Linked DNA regions of Oryza sativa Japonica Group. The protein of the gene in region 1 interacts with the protein of each later gene in a pairwise test. Links are inferred from orthologs where the notes say so. Each region holds a gene or a part of one and is shown in the gene's direction. Other genes may lie near its edges.

What was found.
Region 2: the proteins of growth-regulating factor 6 (region 1) and GRF1-interacting factor 2 interact in binary tests that used the Arabidopsis thaliana proteins (3 or more experiments, as listed by UniProt). The link is inferred for Oryza sativa Japonica Group from reciprocal best matches to the Arabidopsis thaliana genes GRF1 and GIF2.

Annotation. Positions count from the first base shown.
Region 1 is NC_089037.1:30,700,023-30,707,884, forward strand, and holds growth-regulating factor 6, read left to right. Parts: upstream 1-3,236; coding exon 3,237-3,648; intron 3,649-4,672; coding exon 4,673-4,885; intron 4,886-5,031; coding exon 5,032-5,395; intron 5,396-5,808; coding exon 5,809-6,631; 3' UTR 6,632-6,993; downstream 6,994-7,862. UniProt on the Arabidopsis thaliana protein: Transcription activator that plays a role in the regulation of cell expansion in leaf and cotyledons tissues.
Region 2 is NC_089045.1:25,863,452-25,871,393, reverse strand, and holds GRF1-interacting factor 2, read left to right. Parts: upstream 1-2,763; 5' UTR 2,764-2,867; coding exon 2,868-2,954; intron 2,955-4,081; coding exon 4,082-4,158; intron 4,159-5,351; coding exon 5,352-5,439; intron 5,440-5,525; coding exon 5,526-5,891; 3' UTR 5,892-6,138; downstream 6,139-7,942. Other genes in the region: DNA-directed RNA polymerase I subunit rpa49, read right to left, coding at 6,930-7,367. UniProt on the Arabidopsis thaliana protein: Transcription coactivator that plays a role in the regulation of cell expansion in leaf and cotyledons tissues.

The DNA of each region.
Region 1 (7,862 bases):
CGTGAGGGAGCCGTGCTCTTGGACCACGCATATTGCTACTTGATGGTTTTGTAATGCCCTAAGTACATCGAGGAGGGCTAAACAAATGGGCAGTAGTAAATTAATTTGGATGGGAAAGGGGGACATTTCAAACAACTGGCATATGTTTGCACGAGTATTTATTTTGGAAGATAGTGCCATTGTGTACGTTTTTAATGCCAAGGGTGACGATTATGTCATGCTACTGGTTTTTTAATTCCATCTGATGTTTTACCTCACGGTAATAATATAGCATAGTACTTTTACTCCATATATATTATATACTCTTATCAATAATACATCATCTCTTTTAAAATATAAACATTTTTAAGTGCTTATTCACCTATTCTCCATCATAATCAATCGTAACTATCTTTTATTTAGTTTTTTATCTAGTTTTATTTAACCAATCATAATTGTTTGTCACCTCAAACTTATCGAAAAATGGTTATGGAGTATGTATTGTGTTAGGGGTAAAAATAACGGAGAGTAAAAAGACAAAAAAAAATCGAAATGCCTTGGGAAAAAAATAACAATATTATCCCATCATTGTAGAATGATAGAGGCAGTAACTCTCGTGCGATGAGAGTGAATATATCTGCAGTAGAAATGGGCGTTAGGTAGCCCGCCAAACACAGCGGGATTACCGTTAATTGAGCTGATCTAGCACGGTTTACCCCTACTGTTTGGGTGAACATTCTCTCTCGCGTGCAGCTTGCAGCGAGCGAACGGAGGTGATATGGTGATATACAAAAGCTCTTCTTTTTACGGCCTTGATTTACCGAGTCTTTACTGAGTCCGGGCAAAAGAAGGCAAAGATCGAGAGGTTGGAGAAATTGAGAACGCACGCAACGTACCGGAGGCGAAAAGCGGACAGCGTACGGGCGTGGAAACCGTTCGGTGTTCCGATCGGGTCCCTGCAGGTCCATCCCTGTCACACCTTGGCGCCCGGCAAGCTAGGTTCTGTAAATTAAGGGCAGTTTTTAACAACGGCCACTTCTACTTAAAATCTTCATCAAGAAAGATGGTTCAGATTCAAACTTAGATTGAAATCAACTATAGTCGTAAAGGTTAGAAAAATAAATAGTAACCATAAGCTAGAAAACCCAATCTTTATAAATAAATACTGAGGCTGCATTCTTTGCTGAGAGTTTACAACTCCCCACTCTCGCTTTCCACGCATATGTTTTTCAAACTGCTTTCTATATGAAAGTTGCTTAAAAAAATCATATTGATCCATTTTTGAAAAAAATTAGCTATTAATTAATCACACATTAATGCAAACATCGTTTTGCATGCCGGGGAGGAGGGGTTCCTAACCCTTTCTCCCGAACACAGCCTAATTGTTTCTTAAAATTTTAAGCTCATGACCTAAATATAGGAGTTTAGAAATATGGGCTCTGGCGGTAAAGCTGCAGTTGAAATATATGACGCAACTTTATATATATATATATATATATATATATATATATATATATATATATATATATATATATATATATATATATATATATATATATATATATATATATATATATTACAAGTTTTTATATGGTGAAAAATAGACAGCTATAAATAATTTTAAAAATTAAGTTTTAAAATTTAACTTTTTAGCTATACGGTTCAGACATCAACCAGCTGAGCTGCCTCGTGATTTCCTTTCCTTTTCTTTTTCTTTTTCTTGAAAACATACTAATTCCACTACACCGCACTATTTTGTCAAACCCTTCGTCATAGAGCATTTAGGTCTTTTTCGGAACGCAGAAATTTTAGAGGTTTTTTTTAACATAAAACAGTTTAACTCCTCCAAGATTCCCGTGCAAAATCTTCCAAACTGAATGGCCCTTCAAGTTATATATTTCCTCTAAACTGCACATTAACCTTGTTTGAGATCCAGGACTCGTCCGCTTTGCTCGTGTGGTCTAGCGTGCTAATCTTCAACCATGATTGATACTCCTGCGATCTTAGCCTACGGTATTTCAGGTGCATGTGCGCAACAAATATATATACACAGATATGGACCGATCGATCCATGCATACGTGCGTCTCGCGTGGCTGCGATTCCATGGCCTAATATCTTAATTAGCGCAGGAAGATAGTACTACTACTTACTTACCAGCTAATTGCCTAATTTCCACGCCCAGTGAGCGGCTGGAGCTAAGCACGCAGCTAGTAGCTAACAAACTCATATATCAATCAAAACTGAATCTAACACAAATATACACTAACATATACTCCATAGTGCAATGATAAGAGATGTGTGATTCTAACTCCAAGGTACCATACCGTTCCCAATACATTCACATTTTCTTCTTAATTTTTTTTAGAGACGTCTCTTTCTCCAAATTTCATTTTCTAAAACTGAATCTAACACCAATTATAAGCTCTAGATAAGTGATATGAAGCTATCGGCATATCACACAGTGTCACTATGCTACGTACCTGCCGTTCAATGTGTAGGGAGGAGAACGATCGAACCCACCAAATGTTGGTGTTAGTTGCTCTTGTTGCTATTGTCAACTACCGGTTACATCTATCAGTTCATCTCTTGCACAAACACAACGCTTGTCCTGGTTGATCTATAGGACAAAATGGTGGTTTCGGCTTAGCTATTCCAGTAGTACTTTCTTCTCGGAAAGATAATGTCTTTTGAATCTTCTGGGTAGGAATCATAATCCTTCTTATAAATGTTGTTGAATCTAGTAGCATTTGGAGCAACTTTACAATGCAAAGATACCGGCACCCTACATTAAAGGTAAAAAAAAAAATCCCCCAGACAAATAAATCTTACCAGCTACAGTACCACTTACTACTGCCACAGCTATACAGTAAGATCTCTCCTTACCATCAATTTTGCCGGTGGTTAGAGCAGTAAAATGACTCGGTTAAAAAAAATATGGAGCAGTAGCAGTAAAAATCTTCAAACAAGTTTCCCTTTTTACCCCTGGGTGTTGTACTACTAGTACTTGGGGCTTGTGGCTAGCCTTTGCCCCCAAAAGGAAAACCATCCCGGTTTCCCGAACACGAGCCGCCCGCGACGACGACGCATCCGCCATTCCACCGGCGACGCGACGCGACGCGAGAGCACGCGCGCGCTCGCGCGGCGCGCCACCACAACCCGCACAGCGAGAGAGGGGGGGATGCGGTCGCTTGCTCCGGTAGCTGCGGCTGCGGCGGATGAGCGGGGGAGCAGGAGGGGGCAGTGGTAGGAGGTGGGGATGGACCTGGGTGGCGGGGTGGGGGTGGTGATGGCGGCGGTGGACGGGGGTGGCGGCGGGGAGCTCGGTGGGGGAGGGTTGCTCGGATCTAGGCTGATGAAGCACGGGAGGGGCAATGCGGGGGACCAGGAGCACGAATGGAGGCCGCCGGCGAAGCAGGCGAGGGGCGGGGACGCGTCCTCCGCCGCGGCCGCCGTGGCGGCCGCGGCGGCGGTGTCCGAGGCGGTCAAGGTGGCGGCGCCGTTCCTGCTCGGGGCGTCATGTAGCCCCGGCCATGGCGGGGAGCAGATGCTCAGCTTCTCGTCCTCCGCCTCGTCGTGCTCCTCCGGCGGCGGTGGCGCCGCCGTGGCCGCTGCGGCGGCGGCTGGCGGGGCGATGCCGCTGTACTATGGCACGCCTGCTTCTTGCTCAGGTGAGGATGGTGCAAAAATCTTTTCGTTTCCTTTATTTTTTTCTTCTTTCTGTTCTGCTCGTCTGATTCGATTTGGTGATTGAAAAGCTTTCTGCTCCTTTTCAAGTATTATTGCTGTTTGATTCATCTCTCTTTGTTATAGATTTATTTTCCATTTTTTATGCTACTTCTCTGCCTTTTTATTCGTTGCTATGCATCATGCTTGATCCTTGCTCACACTGGGATGGGATGGAGCTGATTTAGTTTTAGTTTTTGTTTTTTTCCCACTTGGTTCTTTTACTATTGTGGTTTAGATTCGGATTTGCATCTTGTATTTTTTTTGTTTCATATTTCTCATTTTTTTGTCTCCTTTTGACTAGATCACTGACTGCGAATAGCTCACTTCCTCTGAAATAGACCAGTTTATTATCTTTAGCATAGATGAGTGTGAGTATAAACTAGTTCTTGATTTTTTCTTGATACTGGAGTATAAGTTTCCTGTTCTTTTCAGTGACATCCACAAACGCTTTCTTGTCCTCATCGGTGCGGATCGGGCGTATTCTCTTTCGTCATACCTTTTGCCGAAACTAAAGGAGAAAGCACATATATGGATGAGAAAAGTCGTGATCTTTAGCATTATATCACTACTATTTCTACTACGTTTTTCTCACTAGGGAAGAAAGAAAGGTTAAAGTAGGAAAAATAAAAACATGCAAGAAAGGTTTCAAGTAAACAATGCGGCAAACGCGAATCAAGCTTTGCTGCAACGGATCGAACATGTGGTTGGTTGGTGACTTTTTATGCACACGCCACCTACAAATCCGTGCTGCTTCTGATCCTTGCAGCCACTTTGCTTCAGATTTTTGTGTCTTTTGCTTGCCCCTATCTATGTTATATCTTGCACAAGGATCGTGTTTAGGAAACACATGCATCTGGATGGTGGTCGTCGTCTCGTCTTCTATAAAGTACATGTGTGTTTTGGCTGTGCCTTGTTGGCTTGCACTGCCTAGCTTGTTGCTCATCTCCTTGGTGTATCTGGCTGCAGGATTGAGCTCAGTGAGCTTGAGCAGCAGCATGCAGGGTGCAATGGCCAGGGTGAGGGGTCCCTTCACGCCGTCTCAGTGGATCGAGCTGGAGCACCAGGCGCTGATATACAAGTACTTGGCTGCGAATAGCCCTGTACCACACAGCCTCCTCATCCCCATCAGGAGGAGCCTCACATCGCCCTACTCACCTGCCTACTTTGGCTCAAGCACATGTAAGCCAAGAAATGGGAAAGGAAGCAGATCAACCGAATGCTTTCTTGGCTTTAGTTCCTTTCATCATGGACTGATATTTATGATAAAAGCTGTTCCATTCCCTGATCTTGGTTGCATTGCCCTTGGTTGGGTTTTTGCTTTGCAGTGGGATGGGGATCTTTCCAGCTGGGCTACTCCGGCAGCGCGGATCCGGAGCCCGGCCGGTGCCGCCGGACGGACGGCAAGAAATGGCGGTGCTCGAGGGATGCGGTCGCCGACCAGAAGTACTGTGAGCGACACATGAACCGGGGACGCCACCGTTCAAGAAAGCATGTGGAAGGCCAGCCTGGCCATGCCGCGAAAGCGATGCCCGCGGCGGTGGCAGCAGCCGCTGCCTCTGCTACCCAGCCTAGTGCTCCGGCCGCCCACAGTGGCGGAGCTGTTGCTGGCCTCGCTATCAACCATCAGCACCAGCAAATGAAGAACTACGCTGCCAACACTGCCAATCCTTGCTCTCTGCAATATAGCAGGTAGAATGTTGGCAGCACTTTCAAGCTCCAAATATTGCTTTTAGTCAATCATGTAGCCAATGCTTAAGCTCAAGACGTCAAGTTTCGCTTTTGCCATTTTGCATGGATATTCCATTTCCGTACATATTTGCCTGCCGGCATCCACCAAATAATAAAGATAGAAGGTAATTTAGTTACCTAGTTTATTTAGCTACCATGATTGGAGATGAGCCCCAAAGATAAGCTATTAATCATTTACCAGCAATTAAACAAGTCCATTATTTACATTGCTCATCTATGTACTCTGGTAGCCCTAAAGGTACTTGTTTTGTGAGTAGAGTGGCCGTTGAAGAACTGCCATACTAAAGGAACAACTGCTATATGCTGTATTAACTACTTCACTAATGAATCACTTGTTGATCAAACTTCTACAGGGATCTGGCAAACAAGCATAATGAGAGTGAACAAGTGCAAGACTCAGACAGTCTCTCGATGCTGACTTCCATTAGCACGAGAAATACGGGCAGCCTGTTTCCGTTCTCAAAACAACATAATCCTTTTGAAGTGTCCAACTCAAGGCCAGATTTTGGCCTAGTATCACCTGATTCACTGATGAGTTCTCCTCATAGCTCCTTGGAGAACGTCAATTTGCTCACTTCGCAGAGTCTGAATGAACAACAGAGTTCAGTTTCCCTTCAACACTTTGTGGACTGGCCAAGGACACCTGCACAAGGAGCTCTCGCATGGCCTGATGCTGAAGACATGCAAGCTCAGAGAAGCCAGCTCTCAATATCTGCTCCAATGGCGTCTTCTGACCTGTCATCAGCCTCAACATCTCCCATCCATGAGAAGCTGATGTTGTCACCACTTAAACTGAGCCGTGAATATAGTCCTATTGGTCTCGGTTTTGCAGCAAATAGAGATGAGGTTAACCAGGGAGAAGCAAACTGGATGCCTATGTTCCGTGATTCTTTGATGGGCGGACCATTGGGAGAGGTTTTAACCAAGAATAACAACATGGAAGCAAGGAATTGCCTATCGGAGTCTCTGAATCTTTTAAATGATGGCTGGGATTCAAGCTCAGGGTTTGATTCATCCCCAGTTGGTGTTCTGCAGAAGACCACCTTTGGATCAGTATCCAGTAGCACCGGAAGCAGTCCTAGACTGGAGAATCATAGTGTTTATGATGGCAACAGTAACCTGCGGGATGATCTCGGTTCAGTTGTTGTAAATCATCCGAGCATCCGCCTGGTGTGAGCTTCTTGATCAACAAAAAATGCAACAAGATGACAGGCATGAGGAAACGATTCAATCAGTCTTCACCTTGTTACATATCGTTATGACGTCTTCAAGTGTGAGCATTTACCTCGGTGCTTTGTCATTCAGACTAATCTTGTGTTTTTGGTATTTCTGCTCTGTTATTTTTCCTTTGCTTTGTAACCTTCACCTTGGATCTTGACGTGATATGACGTGTGGTATGGATGGATTTGGTACTCCATTGTGGCATATCATCTTAAAATATCCCATGCTGTGACGTCATAATCGCGGATGAATGTAATCCGATCCTTGTCTTGCTTTCTGGTAGTATTCAATGGATTGTTTGTGAGCTGATATAAGTATTCCTCTTGACTTCTTGATGCTTGTTGGTAATTTTAGTTGGTCCATGCGGCATTCGTGTAGTGTTTCACTGGTATTTCGTGTACGGACTGTTCTGTTTGTCTCCCAATTATTGGACCATATATTCGGTGTATACTAGTTTTGCATAGTACTTCTACTTTGTTTGCAGTCACTAAACTAGACAAATGAGAACTATAGTTAGGTCAGTTTGGACGAGGCAATTGGGGTTTTTTTTTTTTTTTGGGGGGGGGGGGGGTCCTTGCGATTAAATCTGTGCAAAATTCTGACCAAATAGTTTAGCATTGCTTTTTGGAGCCTGAGGGCGGTCTTTCTTTTCCCACTATTATTGACAGAGTGGACTAGTGGTCTAATCCAGTTCTGATTGTACTCCCAACCAACAGCCTCACCAGAATACAATGATACAAATTTCAGGACCATTCACCACCAGCCTTTTCTTCCTCTTTTAACAGCTGCCAAGCCCTGCAAAAAGAGACCAGCCTCCCTCTAGCTTGTGTAACTACCCAATGTTCATCACTGCATGCATGCATCCATGGCCAGCCTCTACTCCACCACAGGCAGCAAGCAAGCACTGTGTGGTTTTCTCCCTTTTGATGATTTGCTCTACAGTAGCCTACAGTAGAATGATTCATCATCAGCAGCAATAGCAGCTAGCTAGGCTTGCAGTTGCACTGGTGTGCAAGATGAGAGCCCTGATGCCATTTGCCACCTGCTTTTTATGCACCCAGAAGACTCAAAAGCGATCCATGCATTGCATACCACACACATGGATGGATAGATGATAGTAGTGTTCTTCCTCCAGGAATGGGCTGACCTGGGTGACTCCTTGATTGCTCACCTGCTAGACATGTCA
Region 2 (7,942 bases), on another chromosome or scaffold:
CAAGATGTGACACTGCTCTATGTCATGTTTTATGGGACGGAAGGAAAGAGTACGAACCAGCGACACCGTCTGTGCAGCAGCAGTGAGTGAGAGAGTAGATAGATTCTGCGGCCACGTTGAGCTGGCCCAGCAACCTATAAATTCTGCCACGTGCACCGGCAGTCAGCAAGAATCTTTAACCACATGGCTTGAGCACCCTCCATTGGCTGGCTTCCTCTGACCTTGTGGGCCCGGCAATGCTTGTGGTCAAAGCTTACACTCCCTTTTGAGCTGCTTGAACTTGTTTCCCTCTAAACTCCAAAGACATTTGAATTGCACAAGGATTATCATTGTAATTACTAGAGGATAAGCAAATTGCAGACAAATTTTATTATTTCTGGCTCCACCATTGTAAGGAGTAGATAACTATTTAGAAACACCCCGATTCTCATAAGTTGTTTATCATAACATTCAGCTCTCCCGCATAAGCATTAACCCCAAGACATGAGCCATACCATTGTCTGGAGTCTTAAGTTTTAACTCTCACATCGAATTATCCTAAGAGCAAATTTAATAACTATAAGCCAATCACATGCTTATATGGAGGAGAGAGAATAAGAAAAATAATGAGTGCTAGCTCTTACATATTCTTCTAAGCAAATACTCCTATTAATTACATAAAGATAAGAAGGTAAAATTAGAGATAAACTTATAGCTAATCTATTATCGAAAATGCTATGCATACAATTGTTATGTACGATTCTCGTACGATTGCTGACGAATGGTGAGCGTTACTTAGTTGCATCGCTAGAAAATGACTGGACAACATGATTGGCTTCCGTTGAAAACATTACATCGTACGAGCTCCGTAGGCAAAATATCGTACATATGGTAGCTCTCAATCAACTATACATGTTAACTCTTAGATTCATTTATAGCTAATAGTTACTCCCTCCGGGTTGATAATACTTGTCGTTTTGGACAAGGACACGGTCTTCAAAAAGTAGCTTTGACAACTATTTTCTATTATAATATATATATAGAAATATCAACAAATATATAATTTTATTGAAATACTTTTTAAAACTAATCTACGCATCTGGTTTTTATATTTTCAAGACAAATATAGCCCAGGTAGAGTAGCTGTATTGTTACATAATCTGTATACCATTCTTTGAAGTGAGACAACCAAGAAGAAAAGAAGAGGCAAAGGTGAAGGGGGAAAACGTGTCTCACCTTCTACGCCTTCACATGGATTTCAGGTACTTTCTTCCAAGAGTTGCTGCAGCGCGCCATGCTAGTTGCCAGCCACTCTCCAACAGCGGCAGCCATCACAACGGTAACAGTGCACTCGATGAAACGACAGATTTGCCCCTCCCATCACTCTCACTCACAAAAGTTTGCTTCCATTGGAGAGCAAATGTTGGCACTCTCCATTCTGCAGCCATATGCTAACGAAAGAGAATATATCATGCTCTCTACTAGCATTGGTAGTAAATTTTTATGGAACATATATTTTCTCTAAATGTTTTAAATGGAAAAAAAAATTACAGTATGTCCACATGAATACGAGGGAAGTTCCTTTACAAAGATTAAGGTTCCATTGAAAAAAAAGGGTGAATATTGTATCAATATTCGGTTGTCATCCACTAATTTCACGTAGTTGCCAACAATAGTATGCTCAAAATTGAATATCATACCCCTTCAGTTTTTAAATGTACTACATGATTGGCTTTAGACATGATGTTTAATCACTAATTCGTCTTATTAAAAGTTATTATTTATTTTGTTGTAACTTATTTTATCATTTGAGATACTTTAACCATGACTCAATTTTTTTTATATTTTACACTTGATTAGTTAAATAAGACGAATAATAAAATATCAGGCCTAAAAGTCAGCAATGTCCTATTTTAAAACAAAGGAAGTATTCCATTTGAAAAGTGAGAAAAATTCTAATTTCTACACAAAATGAATTATATTTTTGTTCTTGCATGTGAAAATCCTTTATAACATAGAAGAACCTTCAGGGATGGTGATGAATGAATGGGTCCATAAATCTCCTCATCAGTGTTTAAATCTTAGTGTCCATAAATATTATGTACGTATAGGTGCCTCTTTAAATAAAAAATCAATGAGATCAAAGATTTACCATATTTTCTCTATTTTATCAGAAAATGTGTGAAGGGATGGAAGTACGTGCCTAAACCGTGTAAGTGACCTATTTTTCTGATTAAGATACATATATTCTATCTCGATTTTCGTTAGCACATTTTTCACACGAATAGACTATGTGTTCTGCGCGAAAACTTTCTATATATTAAAATATGCGATAAATTCAATTTTCAAATTAAAATAATTAAAACTGAATTAATCATGCTCTTTTCTTTTGGTTTTTAGTGCCGTACCTATTTTTTCGAGTAAACTCAAACCATACCTATGTGGCCGTTACTACTATATCCATCCCAATATAAGTACAATTATGATTTTTCGTGTCTAATATTTGACTGTCTTTTTTATTTGAAAACTTTATGAAAGAATTAAAAAAACTAGTCACACATAAAGTATTATTCATATCTTATCATATGATAAGACTAGAAATACTAATCATAATATTTATTTTAGATAATATGAACAATCAAACGTTAGAGACGAAAATACACAACTGCAGACGGAGGTGGGAGAGAAACGATTCTCATTGTCCACCAACAAGGGTAGATTCGTAATCTTCCCTCCTCCTCGCTCTCAGGTAATTTTCTTTCTGAACACAAACCAAACCAAGCTGAAACGACTGGAGAAACCTCGAAAAGCACAAAGCACCCACCAAATCCACCCTCGACCAAGAAACTGAGGCAAGAAGAAGAAGAAGAAGAAGCCGCCGCGGCGAGATGCAGCAGCAGATGGCCATGCCGGCGGGGGCCGCCGCCGCCGCGGTGCCGCCGGCGGCCGGCATCACCACCGAGCAGATCCAAAAGGTTCGTTTCGCTTCCCTCACCCTCTCTCTCTCTCTCTCTCTCTCTCTCTCTATCTCGCTAGGGTTTCTGGAAAAGATGGCTCCTTTGGCGATTGCTTCGGCCAAAGATCAGATCTTTTTCGTGCCCGGGTGGACAAGTATTGAGCCTTTTTGTTCTTGTCTTGCCTTTAATCAAATGGGGGGATTAATCACTGAGGCGTAAATAAGAACGCATTTTTGCAGAGAGTGGAGACGCTTGTGCATGGGGGATTAGAGGTTTAAACAGCTTAAGAGAAGTCGAAATAGGCATGAAAATGTGATAGGAGTAAGGGGTGTGGTCTCCAGTTGAACCAAATTTTGAATCTATAGCCACCAGTCTCCAAATTTGGTAATACTGTAATATTGCGAAAAGCATGATACGGTTGAAATGATAAGCATGCATTAATGCATGAGGATGATAGGAATTTAGTAGTCCACAAGTTCGGTTTTCCCCTTTTTTTGGGGTTCTTGAATACGGCTTTCTGCTTTCATTGCCCCTTTTCTTGTTAGTAGTTTTGTTCTTTTTTGTGCTCTGTAACCACTGATGTGGTCTATTTTGCCCTTCTGTGTAGCTTCAATTTACCTTATGCCCTACTTATATGCTAATTTCTCTCTTATATGCTTAATAATTGGCACAGCTCCTGCCACTGTTATAAGAAAATGTTCATGCATGTTATTATACCTGATCAATATTGATGATAACATGTCAACATAAAAGAACTCTGCCTGCAAAATTTTATGCTACACACCTTTTGGCCCCTTACATTTCAGTTACAACAGAATCACACATCTGAATTATGTCAGCTCTCTGATCATGTAGTTGTGGTTGCATCAAGTTTGATACGAAAGAAATCAACCTTTTCTCAATCATTGGTCCACTATTGATCACAATAGCATTGACATCAGAAACCTAATATCGAATGGCTAGCATTAACTTAAGCTTGGGTTTTTCAAGAAATAAACCATGTTGCCATTGTAGAATGAAACTGCATATACAATTCTTACAGAGAGACGATAAATGAATTATTTTAAGATTACACATAGATTAGCATTATAGCGTGGTCATCAACATCATTAACTTCAGATACTTATTCAATTTCTCTTTTGCAGTATTTGGATGAAAATAAACAGCTAATTTTGGCCATCCTGGAAAATCAAAACCTAGGGAAGTTGGCTGAATGTGCTCAGTAAGTTGCTTGCTAAACATCTTTGAAAGGCTTTATTGCTGGATTACTATATGAAATGCTTCTAGGTGGCTGCCATATCTTGACCATTTTGTTTCATGTAAATGACCTAAAATTGGAAATCTGCAATTGTTGACGGCTTGGAAGATGTTTTCAGAACTACATTTGAAGTCATTTGATCTTATTCTGTTAAAATCATGCACTAAGGATTGCACACAAGTGCCAAGTTTTGATAGTTGTGTCTTCTGAAGTTTACTTTACCATTTGGAGGATCTAAATGACAGTGGTCAATAAGTTTTGGCATCTGAAATTTACTTTACCATTTGGAGGATCTAAATGACAGTGGCCAATATGTTTTGGCATCTGAAGTTTAGTTGACTTGCATGAAGTATATGCTTATTCACTGTCTTCCCTACTGAGGACCTATAATATGGAGAATAAAATCTTGTTTCTGTGCCTGATTTGATCATCTGGAACACCTTGCTTAATTACTCTATTGGTCTATCCAGTGTATGATATCGTATATATCTGTTGGCCTGTGCTATGCAATGGAAAGTTAGATTTTCAGCTGAATGCCTTATTAATTGTTGCAATGGATGAGGAGTTTGATCTTCTATCCAAGTGCTACTATGAAGTCCTATAAGGGATCTATCATTGCTTTATTGATGGATCTTTCCTATCTACATGCATTCAGTGGAGTTTGGGCCTACGTGTAACATGATGCCATGAAGATATAAGTTTTTGTGGGCAGATAGTTGTTTTAAATTTAATGTTCTTGGAAGTGTAACAATCATTTTCGTTTTACACCTTCTAGTGAAGGAACTCCTGCTTAGCTCCCATCTTTTTTGTCTGAATAGTAACTACCCCAAGGCATGAAAATCATCCTAGTGATACCAGCATGTAGTATTCTACTACTGTTGGATCTTTCACTTCACAACAGAAAATTCTTTTGAAGTTTGGGGGAAAAAACAAGATTAGTTTAACAGTTGAGCATCTGCATTACTCATTCCATCTTGATTTTGCCATGCTAGTTTCATCTGTCAAGGAAGAAGGTTGCAAGATTTCTAATCTTCTTTGATGCACCAAACTTGTCTAGTTGTCTTAATTGAATTATTCGTAATGTGATCTGCCTATTTGGATGCAGCCTTCTAAATGATCTTGTAACAATGCTTATCTTTCATGCTCTCATATTTTAGGTACCAAGCTCAGCTTCAAAAGAATCTCTTGTATCTGGCTGCCATTGCAGATGCCCAACCACCTCAGAATCCAGGAAGTCGCCCTCAGGTTAGTTATGTTCCACATGTCAGCATAACACCGCCTCAATCTCTCCTTACTGTTAAGTTCACTCAAATAACTATTTCTCCGAATAGATGATGCAGCCTGGTGCTACCCCAGGTGCTGGGCATTACATGTCCCAAGTACCGATGTTCCCTCCAAGAACTCCCTTAACCCCACAACAGATGCAAGAGCAGCAGCAGCAGCAACTCCAGCAACAGCAAGCTCAGGCTCTAGCCTTCCCCGGCCAGATGCTAATGAGACCAGGTACTGTCAATGGCATGCAATCTATCCCAGTTGCTGACCCTGCTCGCGCAGCCGATCTTCAGACGGCAGCACCGGGCTCGGTAGATGGCCGAGGAAACAAGCAGGATGCAACCTCGGAGCCTTCCGGGACCGAGAGCCACAAGAGTGCGGGAGCAGATAACGACGCAGGCGGTGACATAGCGGAGAAGTCCTGAGCTAGCACAAGTGTTAGGATGAATAATGCCATGTATACTAGCAATGAAAAAGAAAGAAAGCCCCCTGCCTCGTGGATCACAAGTAGTCCTTACTCATCACCCCCTGTGTTTTAGAAGGCTCGTCTTATCGGTGTTGTAGAACAAAACTTTTAGATTGATGATGATGTAACCTATCAGAGATTCTTATCTCATCCTACAATTGTTGTAGCTATTATGGAATAATTTTACCAGCCTGAGAGAGTTTTTACTTCTGTTTGCCTGCTAATATAATGGTTAGTGTGATGAACTTAAAAAGGCGGTTGTATTTTGCAAGCTTATATTCTTGTACTCCTTTTTTCTTTTTATAAGGCATACTATAAAGTCAAAATGTCAAAGTTTGTAAGTATATTTGGCATGTAAAAACTATACCAACAAAATTATACTTCAATGTATTTTCATATAATGTTGGTTCTGTTTTAATTAACAAAATAGCTAGTAGTCAAAGTTTATATGTCTTGACCTTTTGACTTCATAATACGCCTTATAAAAAGAAATGGAGGTTACTTTCTTGAAAGGATCTGAAACCTATGCCTTTTCATCCTAATCTAGGCATGACATGTTTCCAGATTTTGAAGCATCGGCTTTAATGCAATATGATGTATCCCATCAAGGCAATCTTACAAACTGAAGAAACAAAATACTGCATGAATGCAAAGATTGCTTGGACGTTAGCAATGCATTGTGGCAACAAGATACTGAGATAATACTATCCACGGCATTCATGCAAGGCAAAAGCTAGATATCTTCAATGTAAATTCTGGTAGGCAAGATGAGAAAAAAAAAGGGTTAAAAAATGTCATCAATACATAAACAATATTCTGCCTTTGTGACAGCAACTCCAGGTGACAAGGGGAAACAAAAACAAGGCAAAAGCCATATTCCACATGTTTCAGTAATTCGGAAGGCTGGGCTGAGCATGCATAAACTCAGGCCCAACTTCGAACAATCTTTTCCTATCACACCCACATTCAGATAAGGCTAAAGATCCTTCTGAGATGATCAGAACCTTCGTCGCTTTCTCCTTGTAGCTTCTTTTGGGAACTTGAGGGGAGCTGGAAGTGTCATTACAGAGGATTTAAATGCACCGGCCGACGAAGATTTGCATCCCAGCTGGTCATAATATGGTTTAATCATCTGGCGGGTCATTTTCAGGTCTTCACATATATCCTTAGGGTCGGATCTGAAGTCATCAGCGTAGAGCGTGAGTACGAGAATGTAGTTGATCAGAAGCTCGTGTTTCTCTGTTGACAAGGCGCTAGATCCTGGTTCCGTAAACATTAGCACCATCTTACGATATACATACTGTGGGATCACTGGTCCACTGGTAGCCTGGTTTTCCTTTCTGTGCCGCTTGGACATGGAGCTGTTCCGTGCCAGCAGGGATAGGAGATGTGTGATGTAGGACAGTATCCAAGCAAGCCTCTCCTTATCTTCACCCTAAAGCATATAAAACATACACATATTGCATTTAGAGCATATGGAATAAAAGAAACAACTCTACAAACACAGTTTTTAGTTGAGTTCAGTATGACATAAGTTAAACAGATGGCTGCCATTGTCTCGAGAGCAATCTGAGTAAATATCTTAATAAAGAGGGGAAAACATGCAAATCAGGATTGTTCTACATGGCATCATTGCAATTGAGTGTCTGCCATCCAATTCTAGGTAGAAACAGTTTGCTCACATCACAGCAAAAACTCTGTAACTGTCAACTACAATATTTCAGCAAATAAATTCTTTTTGCACTGACTAAAGGAAGATCCGAGTCAATTAATAGCTACTTCCCTGTATGCTTGAGTGCTTGACAACATAAAGTAATCTTATTTTCCTTTGATTAGTGTACAATAAATTACTGTCTCCTAAAACTATATCAGCAACTCTTAAGAGTTTACAATTAACACACCTACAACCACCAAAAGTCAGGAGCATTTCTCATTAAATTTTCCTAGAAGTGGATTATTAGTATATGCATGGGGTAATTCAATATGAAACAAAGATTCAGGAGAACCAGA